Saccharomyces cerevisiae S288C: one gene and its partners. The gene in region 1 interacts genetically with each later gene. Each region holds a gene or a part of one and is shown in the gene's direction. Other genes may lie near its edges.

What was found. Genes that interact genetically often act in the same process or in processes that back each other up.
Region 2: mutations in SLX4 (region 1) and RMI1 are lethal when combined (synthetic lethality), as found in Saccharomyces cerevisiae (5 studies listed by BioGRID, with this or other methods).
Region 3: of SLX4 (region 1) and DOT1, a mutation in one rescues a mutant of the other (synthetic rescue), as found in Saccharomyces cerevisiae (5 studies listed by BioGRID, with this or other methods).

Annotation. Positions count from the first base shown.
Region 1 is NC_001144.5:410,588-417,581, forward strand, and holds SLX4 (Slx4p), read left to right. Parts: upstream 1-2,693; coding exon 2,694-4,940; downstream 4,941-6,994. Other genes in the region: PDC5 (indolepyruvate decarboxylase 5), read left to right, coding at 136-1,827; TIS11 (Tis11p), read right to left, coding at 5,214-6,071; RKM5 (S-adenosylmethionine-dependent methyltransferase), read left to right, coding at 6,419-6,994. UniProt on the Saccharomyces cerevisiae protein: Regulatory subunit that interacts with and increases the activity of different structure-specific endonucleases. Has several distinct roles in protecting genome stability by resolving diverse forms of deleterious DNA structures.
Region 2 is NC_001148.4:501,782-505,890, forward strand, and holds RMI1 (Rmi1p), read left to right. Parts: upstream 1-1,735; coding exon 1,736-2,461; downstream 2,462-4,109. Other genes in the region: putative serine/threonine protein kinase SKS1, read right to left, coding at 1-402; methylenetetrahydrofolate reductase (NAD(P)H) MET12, read right to left, coding at 2,558-4,109. UniProt on the Saccharomyces cerevisiae protein: Structure-specific DNA-binding protein with a preference for cruciform structures. Also binds single-stranded DNA (ssDNA). Functions together with SGS1 and TOP3 to maintain genome integrity. Essential for proper meiotic cell division.
Region 3 is NC_001136.10:1,340,803-1,345,889, forward strand, and holds DOT1 (histone methyltransferase DOT1), read left to right. Parts: upstream 1-1,690; coding exon 1,691-3,439; downstream 3,440-5,087. Other genes in the region: adenine phosphoribosyltransferase APT2, read right to left, coding at 3,715-4,260; SSN2 (Ssn2p), read right to left, coding at 4,874-5,087. UniProt on the Saccharomyces cerevisiae protein: Histone methyltransferase that specifically trimethylates histone H3 to form H3K79me3.

The DNA of each region.
Region 1 (6,994 bases):
AAAAGAACTTGTATATAAGAGCTGCCATTCTCGATCAATATACTGTAGTAAGTCCTTTCCTCTCTTTCTTATTACACTTATTTCACATAATCAATCTCAAAGAGAACAACACAATACAATAACAAGAAGAACAAAATGTCTGAAATAACCTTAGGTAAATATTTATTTGAAAGATTGAGCCAAGTCAACTGTAACACCGTCTTCGGTTTGCCAGGTGACTTTAACTTGTCTCTTTTGGATAAGCTTTATGAAGTCAAAGGTATGAGATGGGCTGGTAACGCTAACGAATTGAACGCTGCCTATGCTGCTGATGGTTACGCTCGTATCAAGGGTATGTCCTGTATTATTACCACCTTCGGTGTTGGTGAATTGTCTGCTTTGAATGGTATTGCCGGTTCTTACGCTGAACATGTCGGTGTTTTGCACGTTGTTGGTGTTCCATCCATCTCTTCTCAAGCTAAGCAATTGTTGTTGCATCATACCTTGGGTAACGGTGACTTCACTGTTTTCCACAGAATGTCTGCCAACATTTCTGAAACCACTGCCATGATCACTGATATTGCTAACGCTCCAGCTGAAATTGACAGATGTATCAGAACCACCTACACTACCCAAAGACCAGTCTACTTGGGTTTGCCAGCTAACTTGGTTGACTTGAACGTCCCAGCCAAGTTATTGGAAACTCCAATTGACTTGTCTTTGAAGCCAAACGACGCTGAAGCTGAAGCTGAAGTTGTTAGAACTGTTGTTGAATTGATCAAGGATGCTAAGAACCCAGTTATCTTGGCTGATGCTTGTGCTTCTAGACATGATGTCAAGGCTGAAACTAAGAAGTTGATGGACTTGACTCAATTCCCAGTTTACGTCACCCCAATGGGTAAGGGTGCTATTGACGAACAACACCCAAGATACGGTGGTGTTTACGTTGGTACCTTGTCTAGACCAGAAGTTAAGAAGGCTGTAGAATCTGCTGATTTGATATTGTCTATCGGTGCTTTGTTGTCTGATTTCAATACCGGTTCTTTCTCTTACTCCTACAAGACCAAAAATATCGTTGAATTCCACTCTGACCACATCAAGATCAGAAACGCCACCTTCCCAGGTGTTCAAATGAAATTTGCCTTGCAAAAATTGTTGGATGCTATTCCAGAAGTCGTCAAGGACTACAAACCTGTTGCTGTCCCAGCTAGAGTTCCAATTACCAAGTCTACTCCAGCTAACACTCCAATGAAGCAAGAATGGATGTGGAACCATTTGGGTAACTTCTTGAGAGAAGGTGATATTGTTATTGCTGAAACCGGTACTTCCGCCTTCGGTATTAACCAAACTACTTTCCCAACAGATGTATACGCTATCGTCCAAGTCTTGTGGGGTTCCATTGGTTTCACAGTCGGCGCTCTATTGGGTGCTACTATGGCCGCTGAAGAACTTGATCCAAAGAAGAGAGTTATTTTATTCATTGGTGACGGTTCTCTACAATTGACTGTTCAAGAAATCTCTACCATGATTAGATGGGGTTTGAAGCCATACATTTTTGTCTTGAATAACAACGGTTACACCATTGAAAAATTGATTCACGGTCCTCATGCCGAATATAATGAAATTCAAGGTTGGGACCACTTGGCCTTATTGCCAACTTTTGGTGCTAGAAACTACGAAACCCACAGAGTTGCTACCACTGGTGAATGGGAAAAGTTGACTCAAGACAAGGACTTCCAAGACAACTCTAAGATTAGAATGATTGAAGTTATGTTGCCAGTCTTTGATGCTCCACAAAACTTGGTTAAACAAGCTCAATTGACTGCCGCTACTAACGCTAAACAATAAGCTAATTAACATAAAACTCATGATTCAACGTTTGTGTATTTTTTTACTTTTGAAGGTTATAGATGTTTAGGTAAATAATTGGCATAGATATAGTTTTAGTATAATAAATTTCTGATTTGGTTTAAAATATCAACTATTTTTTTTCACATATGTTCTTGTAATTACTTTTCTGTCCTGTCTTCCAGGTTAAAGATTAGCTTCTAATATTTTAGGTGGTTTATTATTTAATTTTATGCTGATTAATTTATTTACTTTCGTATTCGGTTTTGTACCTTTAGCTATGATCTTAGCTAATTGAAGAGGGTGGTGTGATCTTTAACCATACCTTATTATCTTTCAGCTGCTTACCATTTTCTTATATTGATTTTTAGCGAAAGATTTTTATTCACAAGCTTTTTTTATCCTTAATGCTCGAATACTACAACAAAACAAAAAACATTAAACAGTTTTTAATTTTGTGAACAAACTGAATTACAAGGCCTTACATCTTATTTAGAATATATTAAGAAACAGAGGCCAACATGCCTTCTTAATTATATTGATATGGACCTCTGTCCTTCCTAAAAACGGGTTTTTGTTCGATGAAAAATCACCAGTAGAGCACCATATATGAATTTACAATCATTGTAGGGAAAAGAAAACTTGTTCTGCTTCGCCAATTGATTTCATTTCTTTTTTTCCTTTGTTTTTGTTGTATACTATTAATATGCGTAGTTCTTTGTCACTTAGTGGTTTTTTGTTTAATTTATAACGCGAAAGCTGCATACTAAAAATATAGAGATGAATGGAACTCCGAACAAGCAAGAGAGATATTATCTATCTCTGTTCCATAATAATAACCAGTAGTTCAGTTGGGGAACTTAATAATGGAACTTCAGAGGGCACAACGGAATTTGAAGTTTTTACAAAACGAGGATTATGTGAACGTTACCGATCAAACTAACCTGAATGGAGAGAGCCAGAATGCTTACTCTTTAGGAATGGAAACTCAAGTACCGGAAATGCAGTTTTCCTTATCATCTGATGATGATTCAATAGGTACGCAAGTAAAAAGCGTAACTGCACAAAAATCGCCTATGACGCAAGAGACTACGAAAAACGATACAGAAAGAAATAAAGATGTTGATAAAAGTTGTAACCCAGTCAGCACTTCCCATCCCGATTTAGGCGGATCAAATATCGAGGAGAACATATTCATTAACACTCAAATTCAAAGCCGACTTGATGACGCAGAGGAAGAAACAAATCTTAAGTTAAAACTTGAAAAATTCAAGTATTCGTTCAAGAGTAGTAACGCAGATGATACCCACAGCAATGCAAATGTAACAGCTAAAAGAAGACCAGCAATAAGGAAGGCTAATTCGAAACTCAAAACAAAACCTAAAACTAAACGAGACCCTAAAATTATCAAAAATATAACTGATTTCAATATTAATAACTACGAACGTTCAAGGACTGCCAGCTTATTAAAGCAATTATCAGGTAAGCACAAGAAGGTTTTGGACATAATAAAGACGCAAAATGAAGGAAACAGTGATAAACCTCCCAGAGCAAGGAATAACAAGGGTGAAAAAGCTACTTTTGATACATATAGTGAACAGGAGTGGAAAGATATTATGAAACTTCTTCTACAAAAGTTTCCGCAAAGTGAGGAAACGGATTTGAATGAAGTCCAGAAATTTTTATATGGAAGCGAAAAAAGCTCGAATTCTCTAGACAATCAAGAATCCTCACAACAAAGACTTTGGACAGCATCACAATTACCACCCGAGCTTCCCGATGAGGCTATTCAACCAGAGCAGGAAGAAAGGATACGCGATACCCAAAGTGCAGTAAATTTCTTATCGTTGTCTCAAGTAATGGATGACAAAAGTGAAATTATGAAAGACGAAGAAAGCATAATTATTTCACGGGGAGATTCTACAAGCTCTCAAGAATATGGAAACGGGTTAGAGCCACAACAACCGGTAGGAAATGTTGTTGGTGAAGATATTGAACTGGCTGTGGGAACACGTATAAATGCATTTTCACTGACAGATTATAAAGCTTGCAAACCTATGTCTGTTGAGGTAAGTAGAAGATGCGAAAACAGTACGGATAATGATTATGACAATATTTCTATTGTCTCAGATACTACAGATGAGACATCCACATTGTTTCCACTAGACCAGTATCGGTATGTTTTCATTGAAAATGATGAAAGACCACCATTAGCCACCGACACGATAGGCAGCACACAGTTTTTCACTCCAAACACATCGCCTTTGGATGGGATAATCGATTTAACACAGGAATCATTCAAAGCTGTTCGATCGTTAATATCACCTTTGAAAGTAGAAAACAACAAAACAGGGGTAACATCACAAGCATCAAATCAGGTTCAGGTACCAGCTACAAGAACCCCTACAATTATTCCTCAAAAGAACCTTACTACAACTTTAAAAACTGAAGAAGAAAAGAATAACATAGGAAGTTCCATCAGAGTTAAATTATTGCAAGAAAGCGTAGTTAAGCTAAACCCCAAACTGGTGAAACATAACTTTTATAGAGTTGAGGCAAATGATTCTGAAGAAGAGGAGACAGAATTTGATGACCAATTCTGCATTGCTGATATCCAATTGGTAGATTCCTCCAAAATTTCGACTAAAGATTCTACACAAAATCCTACTACTAGCAACGACATTATTGATACCTCTGCAGCTAGTTCCATAGCTTCTCCCGAGAAATTTTGTGAGATCATGATGTCCCAATCAATGAAAGAGCTTCGACAAAGCTTGAAAACAGTGGGGTTGAAACCTATGAGGACGAAGGTTGAAATCATTCAATCCTTACAAACTGCATCTCAAATTCTGTCCACAGCTAATCCAGATAATAAAGGTGAGCATGGTGGGGTGGCAAATTTCAGTAAGATAGAAATATTTGATCATTTAACCGAACTAATTGAAGCCTTCCCTGATTTTTTGGAGCGAATATATACCTTTGAACCCATTCCGCTAAATGAGCTAATTGAAAAGCTGTTCAGCGCCGAGCCATTTGTTTCGCAAATCGACGAAATGACCATCAGAGAATGGGCCGATGTTCAAGGAATATGTCTGAGAAACGATAAAAAGTAGTGCCGAATGATTGAGAATTTGACAAAACAAAAACAAAACAAAACAAACGTTACGTATAGATGAAGAATACACGTACACAAATATGCATATATACCGTCATGAAGTAGCTTAACTTAAATAAAAGTTTTTTTTTTTTAGAGTTACCAATATCGCAAACATGAAAATGAGAATAAAAAAAAAAAAGCAGAAAAAAAAAAAGCATAACATGGAGAAAAAAATAATAAATAATTGAGTTTAGTTGAGACGCCGGTCTTCGCCAGGCCAGGAATTGTTTCACCAGGTCATTCTCTGCAAAGCCTTTACTTTAACATTTAGATTCTTCTTCTTGGCGGAGCCGCGACCATTGCTTCTCTTTTCGTCTGATTGTTTGCTAGTCGAAGAGACGTTACAGTAAGTACCAGCTTTCACGTAAACAGCAATGTCGTTGTCGTCGCCATGTTTGAAGCAGCATCTTCTGCCATAAGGACAATAACCTAGTTTCTCCCAATTCACACAGGGCTTCGTCCTGAAATTCTTGCACGATTTCTTAACCTTTAATTCGCCGAGTCCGTGAGCAAACTGACACTTACTGCCATAAGGGCAACTTCCTTTTAAAGTGAATGATTCGCACAGCTCTGTCTTGTATAATTGTTTGGGAGTTTCCTGCACTTGGCTTTTCACCTTAGGTTGAGCTGAGGATTCCTTCTCTGATGAAAAAGAAGCATCATTTTTGGGCTTTTGTTGAGACAACTGTTGCAAATTCTGTGAAGTTAATGGTAATTGTGAAGATTTTGGGACATAGTCCGGATTTATTTGTACCTCTAGTTTCTTTTTAAAAGTAGTAGGTGCCGTGCTATTCAGGTGAGCGGATGGGAGAAAAGGGTTCATTAACTGTGGATCATACAGTAGCCCCGGTTGAATAGCGTTTGTATTTTTTGGTGGAGAGAATGAAACTGCCGAAGATATTTCACTGCTTGTTTCCTGTATGTTATCCTCGTTTAAAATCGTCTTGTTGTAATACTCCTCCAGTTCCCTAATATTGATCTGGTACTGGTAGTCATTTAATGGATTTTGCTCTTGATCTGTGGAAAACAACGACGTTAAGTCAGTCTTCTGAGATTCTGGTCTAGTATATGATAATTGAGCCCACATATTGCGTTATTTTTTACGTATTGAGTTTGCAGCACTGTTTCGCTTTCTCTCAAGATGCACAAATACGACCTACCAAGAGCCTCCAAGTCCCACCAACGATTATGTCTTCTCTCAAATATATATACAAGTTACATGTAGAGAAATCGAGACGAGATTGCTGGCACAATGCACCCAACTGCATGTGCCATTGTGCATCTACACCTCCAAATTAGGGTGTCGATTGGCGTCGTCTTCTTTAATGTGGGTGCATTTTGCGGCGGCGCGACAAATATAGAGAACTGACCAAGGCAGTGCTGTCAAGAAGAGAGAATGGTTACGGCAGCGAAGACGCAAATGGGCTAGGCAGAATGGCATTCAAGTTATGGCTACTGGATGAGGAAACAATATACGAGCACGTGTTCGAACGGTACACACAATTGGAGGGCCAGTCCGGGAAACTGGCGCAGGATTTGGGTATTCAGGATAGAAGGGGCGGTGTGCTAGAGATAACGTTTGAACCCTCTGGGCTGGAAGGCGGCAGAAAAAAAAAGCGAGTGAGAAGAAGAAATAAGGCTAGTAGTGTTGAAGAAGATCAGAATGTTGCTGTGGATAGCTATCATGTTAGCGTGGGGCAGTCCATATCAAGCTTGCGCTCGTCCAGAGACAACGGAAACTCCACCACAGGATACGTTTTGTGGTCTACCACACCTTTCTTCATCAACTGGCTGCTGTATAGTACTAGCGCTGCACCTTTCCGTCTTGGGAGTCAGGTGGAAGTAACCTGCGGGTCTTCTTGCGAGGGGCACAAGCTTGAGTTGCCCAGGCTGGTCGACCTCACGGGCGCTGATCGCGGCAAGAGAGGTATCTTGGAACTTGGAGCAGGAATATCAGGTATTTTGCCCGTGATTCTTGGTAACTTCGTCGACACCTACGTGTCGACAGAT
Region 2 (4,109 bases), on another chromosome or scaffold:
GGCAATAGAAGATTCTAAAACTTGGTGAATCTTCACGATATTGCCGTGAGACTGCACTCTTAGTTGGAAGGCAATCTCCCTGTAGTGTGGTAGCCTATTTAGTTCATTCTCAGTCAACTGTAATATCGAGTCTAGATCAACGGAAGGTAAGAACAATTTTTTTTGGAAACTTTTGAAAAAATGATACAGTTGCGTTTGCAGAAGAGTGGTTCGCGCCACTTGAGAGTTGTTGTTCAAACCGTTCTTATTATAAAACTCATCCATCGAGGAGGATTTGAAGACCGTTTTCACTGCATATTCACGGCTCGTCAGTATATCCACCACATGGAACACTAGTCCATACGCACCCGACCCTATTTGAGCCGTTATTCTGAAATTGTTCAGCAAGCAGTCTGACAGCATTTGTACACAAAATTTCTTGTCTGTGTTCTTATTTGATGTTTTCTTTTAAAGAGTTTTGTTTCCGCTAGGGCGATTTAAGTCAATAAGTAAATTTAACAATTTACTAAATATATTTTGTATAATATATAAGAATATACGCCTTAAGAATGTCCTCTCATGCGAAAAAGGTAGCAAGAGCATAAAAAGGAAAAAGAAAACGCTATAGTCATTTGTAGGCTCTTGTCTTTCTTCGTCTTCGTCCCGTGAGTGCGGACTCAGAAAACACCGCAATGATGTGGGTCCGGAATATCTATTGCACAGTTTTAGTAGGGTCACCGATATCGTTAAGGTTTGTGGTAGGAACAGAAGGTACTGCCGGCCCTGTATACTGCCCTTTTGTTCCGACCATTTCTTTTTTGCATTTGTCCCAAGATTCTCTCTCCCCACAAAATCTGCTCAAGTATCTGTCCAACGCGCTTTCTTCGGCTGATAGATAAGTTCCGATTTCGTGGGAAGCAAAAAAAAAAAAAAAAAGAAAAAAAGAGTCTGTCCGAGAAATGTCCCGGAAAACGTGGGTGTGCGGTGAGGAGATTGTACTTCCATCCCACATTCCTCGTGTTTGATTGGCTGCAAGCCACTTGATGCCTAGAAAAGAAACACCGCGTGGTGCATCTATGTCCATATCACGCGCGCTAAAACAGCATGTAGAGAGCGCGAGGGCGGCGTACTGCACCATTCTAATAGGAAATCCGGGATGAATGCCCTCTCCGGAAATACCTCCACTAAGCCTCAATGGAAAGTTGTTCCGCTCACGCGAACAGGTTTTTCCGGGGAGTCGAGAACTACAGTGACGTAAATACGACGACATCGCTAGAGCCAGCAGAAGCCTCCATACATTCAGACTAATTAGTTGACGGGCTTGAGCCAACTAGACATATTATGTAGGCACATATGCTCCAACCAATACATATGTGTACATAGAGTACAGCTCTTCCCAGCGCATCCGCTATCGTCCTCTTGACAGGTCCGGCTATTTATTATCCGCGGCATCCGCGGCCCAGCGCACAATAATAGATTACTTTGCAATGCAAGCGGTCTTGGCTGTTTGCTCTGAGGGTCCATCTTCGTTTATTTCTTTATTTACTAAATTAATTATGATACTGCACTCAGGACGGGCCAAGAAAGCATGTAGCGTGAAGAGAAACTAATTATTAAGAAAAAAGAAAAAAAAAAAAAAAAAAAAAAAGAAAAGGAAAAAGGAAAAAGATAAACCAATCATACAATCTTTACAGAAAGGGAGTACTGAGAAGAAGGCCAAAATACTGCAGAGCATACATACTACCGAGTGGATGGAATGTCTTTTTCATCTATCTTATCACAGGATATCACAGATGACATTACACCACCAGCGTATTCCGCCACCTTGGGGTCGAGAGAACAGATTGTTTTCAGAGCTTACCAAAATGAACCTTGGTTGGCTGGTACTGCTTCGAATCTTATCTTAGATAAAAAACTTGTTATTGTAGACAGAGAACTGTTGTTCCAGGTGTTGATGGTAGAGAATATCACCAAATCCAAGCTAACACAGATCGATGATATAAAAACCAAGCTGGATCCGAAAAAACAGAAAGTGGATAGACTACGATCAGGCGCGCAAGGAAATGGCGCTAAGAAGTACGAGGTCATCACTCAAGTGGACATGGAAGATGACGGGAATGTGGCGGATAACAACTGCGCCAAGGAAAATAATAGCAACAATAATAGCAGTGCCGCCAAGAATAAAGCAGTGTTTAAATTGACACTACAAAGTAAGTCGGGCGACGTTTTTTTTGCTATCAACTCGACTCCAATATCTTGGAGCTCTTGCATGCTGGGTTCTAAAATTGTGATACTGCCGGGAACTGTGTTCAATAGGGGCGTTTTCATATTGAAGGACTCACAAGTCATTTTTCTCGGCGGCATTAATAGAGTTTGGAATGAAAATAGAGATCAGAAATTTTGTGATTATTTGGAATCTAAATTACAACGTGACAAACAACTTGTAAATGGCGGCTCCAAGAAAAGGAAAGCCAATGATTAGCATATGCCTCTTCTTCTTAGAAGGGCGTTCTGCCCGTTATGTATACGTTAAATATTACATTATTTTCGCATTTTTGTATTTATATTCAGTGAAATATTAGGCTTGGTCGAGTAACATTTCCCATAGCTCGTCGGTTTCTTTGAAGTCGTGATGAACAATTGAGACAAGACAGTAGTCTTTATGCACTAGTCTTAGAAGAATATTGGCTGGGGTGTTCCTTGGAAATAACTTGGCCCACTCGGACCAGATACTAAACGCTTCATCTCTCCATGCCTTGAATGACTCTTCTTCAATGATTGTAGTCTGTTTGACCGGACTGTTGGGAAAAACACCCCATGTTACAACGCTAGAGCTGTGCGGGTCTAGGTTCGTTTCAAATGAACCAGATGAATCGCCCGCGTAATAACTGAATTTCCGACGCCCGTAATGGTCTAGCTTGGGTTTCAAAGTTGTTTCCCATTGCTGTCTATGAATAAACATTTCTACGAATGCCTTCTGATACAACCTCCCTTTCGCGGGCCCCCAGCCGAATATTTTATCACTACTCAATGTAGCATTTGTGGCAGGTTGCGATGCCAAAGTCAAATATCCGCGATAGTTTAGTTGGATTAGTTCTTCTTGTATTAACGCCGTTTCAGCTGATAAACCCAGGTCAGACCAGGGAATCGCATCCGTTGAACCTTCCAAATATTTTATAAAAATATCTTTTAAATCGCCAATTGTCTTTGGTATACCCCATAGTTCAAGCGCTTTGCTTTTGCTTACCTTGATGGATGGCCCATAACCGTCTATTTCACCATATGCGGGAGACCTGGAGTCACCAAATCTACCATTGGGGAACTCATCCCAAGTGGCATCACGACCCAAAGTTCCGTGACCTTTAGAAATAGATATTAAAGCCTTTTTAGATGGCATGGAACCATTCTCATTATTATAGCGTAAGCCTTTTTCAGTGACGATAGCCCTATTGAAAATCAACTTGGCCGAATCAAGACTTGAATGCCTTCTCCTTTTCCGGTTTGCTACAGTTTCTTCATTCGAATCATCCAACACAATATCCCCGTCAGCATCTTCTATTGGCACATTTTCTATGCTTCCTATTTCGCCACTGGTTTCATCTTCTCCCTCTTCTTCGCTAGATTCATTTACGATATGGGATAAGACGGGAGATTGCGAGACAATTTGAGCAATAGCCTTTTCCAAATTTAATGTATAGAAATGAAACCCTTTAATTCTACCAGATGTTCTTTGATATATTTCCTGAATCAATTCGATAAGAATGTCCACACCAATGGACTTCACGGCATTATCATCCGATTGGATTTCTGGGGGGAACCTACTCAGTATTGCAGGTGGAATAGATGCATGTGATAACTTTGCTGCTCTGTGGAAAAGCAGATAGGAGTTAATAGGCATCAACCCAGGGAAAAGGGGCAAATCTTGCGAAATCCGTTCCCGAAATAGCATTTCAAAAGTTAAGAATTTTTCAACGTCGTAAAACAGTTGTGTTATCACAAAATCGGCCCCAGCTTCAACTTTTTCTTTTAAATATACCAAATCCTTCAATGGGTCTTGCTCGTGACCTTCTGCTTCACCTTCACAATGACCTTCTGGATATGCTGCAACACCGACGCAGAACTTGTCTCCG
Region 3 (5,087 bases), on another chromosome or scaffold:
AATACTGCCTCAGGCCGCTCAGCTTATATTTTCAAGTCTCTCCATTTGGCTGTTTGAGGTACCCAATTGTTGTATTCTTGATACGGCTGTTTCAACTATTCACATAATAAGTGTAGTCTAGTCTCTTCGATGAGCCTTTTATGCACCAAGGGAAATTAAATGAATTTCTACCAAACCTTATTCATTTTGAATTATGTAGCTCTGACATTTTGTTGTTTTCCTTGCGTGCCCAATGTTGCCAGCGTAAAAGTTATCGTAAACGTTATCGTAAACGTTATCCCCGTTTTGTAAACTTTATTGTCTTCGTAAAAAATAGAAACCAACACTTAAAATTGGTCCCATAAAAAATTGAGTCAGTTCCTTCATCGTGGTACAGTCAGAGTATTCTAAATTAATTAATTTACTGATAATTTAATAACATGAAGAAGAAAGATTGGATATTGAAGTTATCCACCAGGCACATATAACGCTCTAAATAATATTTGGATGTTGCACTAAAGTCCACGATGAAGAATAAAAAGCATCACTTGATCGTTCAATGAGCCAATCTTGGAAATTTTGACACCTCTATTAACCAGAACATCCAGCTTGTTGAGAACTGTTGGGATAATTCAGAAATGTAACTTTGAAACTCAAATAACTCAAGGAACGGGAGTCTTTCAAGATTTTGGAATAATTTGACCACTTTGTTTTTAAACAATTCGAGTGAAGGCCATGCGCTTCTTGTAAGCTTTGTTAATGAATCTATCTTTTAGTTAAAAACATTTCTTTCTTTATCCAATTGAATTATGCCATTCGATATTAAATACGACAACAGGAACACTGAAGAACGGGATACTCCCCCCCCCCCTTGTGAATGTGCTACAATAAACAGAATATCGCCACCCGGTCACTTCTTCTCTCCAATTCTTACTAAATTAGCGATAAATTCTACCCTTTCCATAACTGGCCGTTCTTCTGCAAGAGAATTTTTCCTACTTGAATAGGCATACTTGAATCTGAAAAGTAGTCATAGATAGTGAAGTCTGCTTTATTAATAAAATTCCAGGATGTACTCTTGGAGATCGAATCAAGTTCCTAGAAATCCTTTGAGAAAGAAGCGGTGAATACCCGTAGGTAGGATTTTTTCACGTAATTAAACCGCCTTATCTTATTTGTTGCCAGAAAACTAGAGGATGGAATAAACATATTCCCTAATGGTGTGGCATTTACCTGTCTGTCTAGTTTCTGTTAGTGCATTCCAATGTCAGCTGCTTCGCTACATTGTTTCCAATGAAAGCTTGTATTTTCAGAGTCGAAAGCGTCGTCGCCTCTTTTTATGGATGAAAGAGCTCTGGCATGAATTTTCTCTGTAGTGAAAAAATGTTACGGCTAAAGACCGTAGAGTGACTTTCTTTGTTTTTCTGTTCTTGAATTTAGACACTTACTTCACAATAGTATAACAAGCCAGAAACTAAGTAATGATTTACGTGCCATTTTTTTTAGCAATATATGCATAATCCTGCTGACGCCTTCGCACGCGTCAATGAAAAGGGACATTGAAAAATCGACCGGTAAGTGCTTTCAATGAGATAAACATAATTCGAATATAGGGCATCTCGTCGTCTTAATTGCCTTGAAAAATAACTGAGGTCCTCATCAAGGAGGTCACCAGTAATTGTGCGCTTTGGTTACATTTTGTTGTACAGTAATGGGCGGTCAAGAAAGTATATCAAATAATAACTCAGACTCATTCATTATGTCGTCCCCCAACTTAGACTCTCAGGAATCTTCAATATCACCTATTGATGAGAAGAAAGGCACCGATATGCAAACCAAGTCGCTTTCAAGCTATTCTAAAGGTACGCTTCTCTCTAAGCAAGTACAAAATTTATTAGAAGAAGCTAATAAATACGATCCAATATATGGGTCATCTTTACCTCGAGGATTTTTAAGAGATAGAAACACCAAGGGTAAGGATAATGGGTTGGTTCCGCTGGTGGAGAAGGTTATACCTCCCATTCACAAGAAAACCAATAATAGAAACACAAGGAAGAAGTCATCTACCACCACGAAGAAGGATGTAAAGAAGCCAAAAGCTGCAAAAGTAAAAGGAAAAAATGGCAGGACTAACCATAAACATACCCCAATTTCAAAGCAAGAAATAGATACTGCACGAGAAAAAAAGCCATTGAAAAAAGGTCGGGCAAACAAGAAGAATGATCGCGATAGTCCTTCATCAACATTTGTTGATTGGAATGGCCCGTGTCTACGGTTACAATATCCATTATTTGACATAGAGTACTTAAGATCACATGAAATATATTCTGGAACTCCTATACAATCCATTAGTTTAAGAACAAATTCTCCACAGCCAACGAGCTTGACATCAGATAACGACACTTCCTCAGTAACGACAGCAAAGTTGCAGAGTATTTTATTTTCAAATTATATGGAAGAGTACAAAGTCGACTTCAAAAGGTCAACAGCCATTTATAATCCAATGAGTGAAATTGGTAAATTAATTGAATACAGCTGCCTGGTCTTTTTACCTTCACCTTATGCTGAACAATTGAAGGAAACTATACTACCGGACCTAAATGCATCATTTGATAACTCTGACACGAAAGGTTTCGTGAATGCTATAAATTTATACAACAAAATGATTCGTGAAATTCCTAGGCAAAGAATAATTGACCATTTAGAAACAATTGATAAAATTCCTCGTTCATTCATTCATGACTTCTTGCATATCGTCTATACCAGGAGTATCCATCCGCAGGCGAATAAATTGAAACATTACAAAGCATTCAGCAATTATGTTTATGGAGAACTTTTGCCCAATTTCCTATCTGATGTATATCAACAATGCCAGTTGAAGAAGGGTGACACTTTCATGGATCTCGGTTCGGGAGTAGGTAATTGCGTAGTACAAGCTGCGTTGGAATGTGGATGTGCATTAAGCTTCGGATGTGAAATCATGGATGATGCTAGCGATTTAACTATACTGCAGTACGAGGAACTAAAGAAGAGGTGTAAGTTATATGGGATGCGTTTGAACAACGTGGAGTTTTCATTGAAGAAAAGCTTTGTGGACAATAACAGGGTCGCTGAACTAATTCCTCAGTGCGATGTTATCCTCGTAAATAATTTTTTATTTGATGAAGATTTGAATAAAAAAGTCGAAAAGATACTACAAACGGCAAAAGTTGGATGTAAGATCATAAGTTTGAAAAGTTTAAGAAGCCTCACTTATCAGATCAACTTCTACAATGTTGAGAACATCTTCAATAGATTAAAGGTGCAAAGGTATGATCTTAAGGAGGATAGTGTTTCATGGACGCATAGTGGCGGAGAGTATTATATATCAACAGTGATGGAGGATGTGGACGAAAGTTTATTCAGCCCTGCTGCAAGAGGTAGGAGGAACAGAGGTACGCCGGTGAAGTATACCAGATGAGGCACTTTGAACGGCTTTTAACGATGAGTATGAATAACTAAGTAGAAATAACATGTACACAAGTGTAACTTATAAAAATCAAAAAATAAAAAAATAGAAAGGGAGAGAATAAGAGTAGGTAATAATATGAATTAAAAGAAGGATAAGGCGCCGTGGACCAGGTACCTAAAAAGTAAAGTACCAGTTTATATTAACAAAAGAAGTTCAAGCTAAAAAGTAGCAATATGCGAAGGAAAGGAAAATAATTGAAGGAGGAGGCAGAGAACAAATTTAAATCAGGAGTGCAATATGGAAAAAATAGGAGCAGATAATTTCTCCTCACCATGTAGACTATCTAACACTAGCACAAAGTCATATTCCAGAATATGAGCACCCACTTGTCTGATAAGGTCGCCCGCAGCATATGCCGTTCCACCGGTGGCGAGAACATCATCCACGACAACCACGTTGGAATCAAAGGGAATGGCTTCAACCTGCATTTCAAAAATTTCTTCATGGTCTAATTTTGTGAATGTTATAGAAGCACACTCACCCGGCAATTTTCCAACTCTCCTTATTGGAACAAATCCAACTCCCAATGCCAGTGCTAGGGATGGCCCAAATAGAAGGCCTCTAGCTTCTATACCTGCAATAAAGTCGATCTTTTCTTTGCCGAACTTTTCTTCTAAATGCGTCTTGAACGTGTGTACCAACTTTTGGAATAGCGTGGGGTTGCCAATAATAGGTAAAAAATCCTCAAATTGCTCACCCTCTATGGGAAAGTCAGTGAACTGCCTAAATGCAGTTTTTATTTCCTTTGCGTAAGATTCAGAAATAGACATAATGAGAGGCGGACAGGCAATGAACAGGCATATACACACGCACTCTCTTTTTTTAAGGAGCGAAAATTATCTGAACGATTGGTATGAACGGGTGCAAAATTTACTTTAACACCCAAAAAGTATATGCGTATATATATATATTTATCCTTGTTATTTTTGTAAATTGAGCTATGCAACATAAGATTCCTGCGATGTAAGAACTACTTGCTAATCAAGAGAACTTCAACAATTTTCCATCGCAGAGACGAAAAAACTGGAAAAAAATAAAAAGAAAAAATTGAAAAAGAATCGCGACTTCCGATTACATAACCTTATACGGAGTATGATACCATTCTTGACATCATCAACACACCATCGCAGACCCACGTGGCCGCTTCGTGTGCCTTGAAAATACAGCCTTAAACGCAATCTCATTCGCGTTCTGTGGAAATTGTCTCGGACTACACGCTGGGCGTGCATCACCAGTGAAAATGCCGTACCGCCCCGCTTCCGGTTTTGTTTTTATAAATCCGACTGGAGAAATAGACTTCTGGGTTTACACCCCGGAATAATACTAAAACCAAAACTGGTAAATAGGGCTACAGATGAGCAGGAAAACGTTGCCGGAAAAAGTTTATTTATCCGAGAGAATAATTGATGAAGAAGTAGCGGTATGCACAGTAGCGGCGGAAGTATTAGCAATTTTTACTCTGGTGTGCACAAGAGTGTTCATCATTTTTTTCACGGCTAGGATATGCCATGGAATATGGCCATCTTCGCCATCAGAGAGACCGTACCACACGTTTAGAGCAGCCAGGTTGCGAAACTCTTCTAAGATGGTTTCCAGC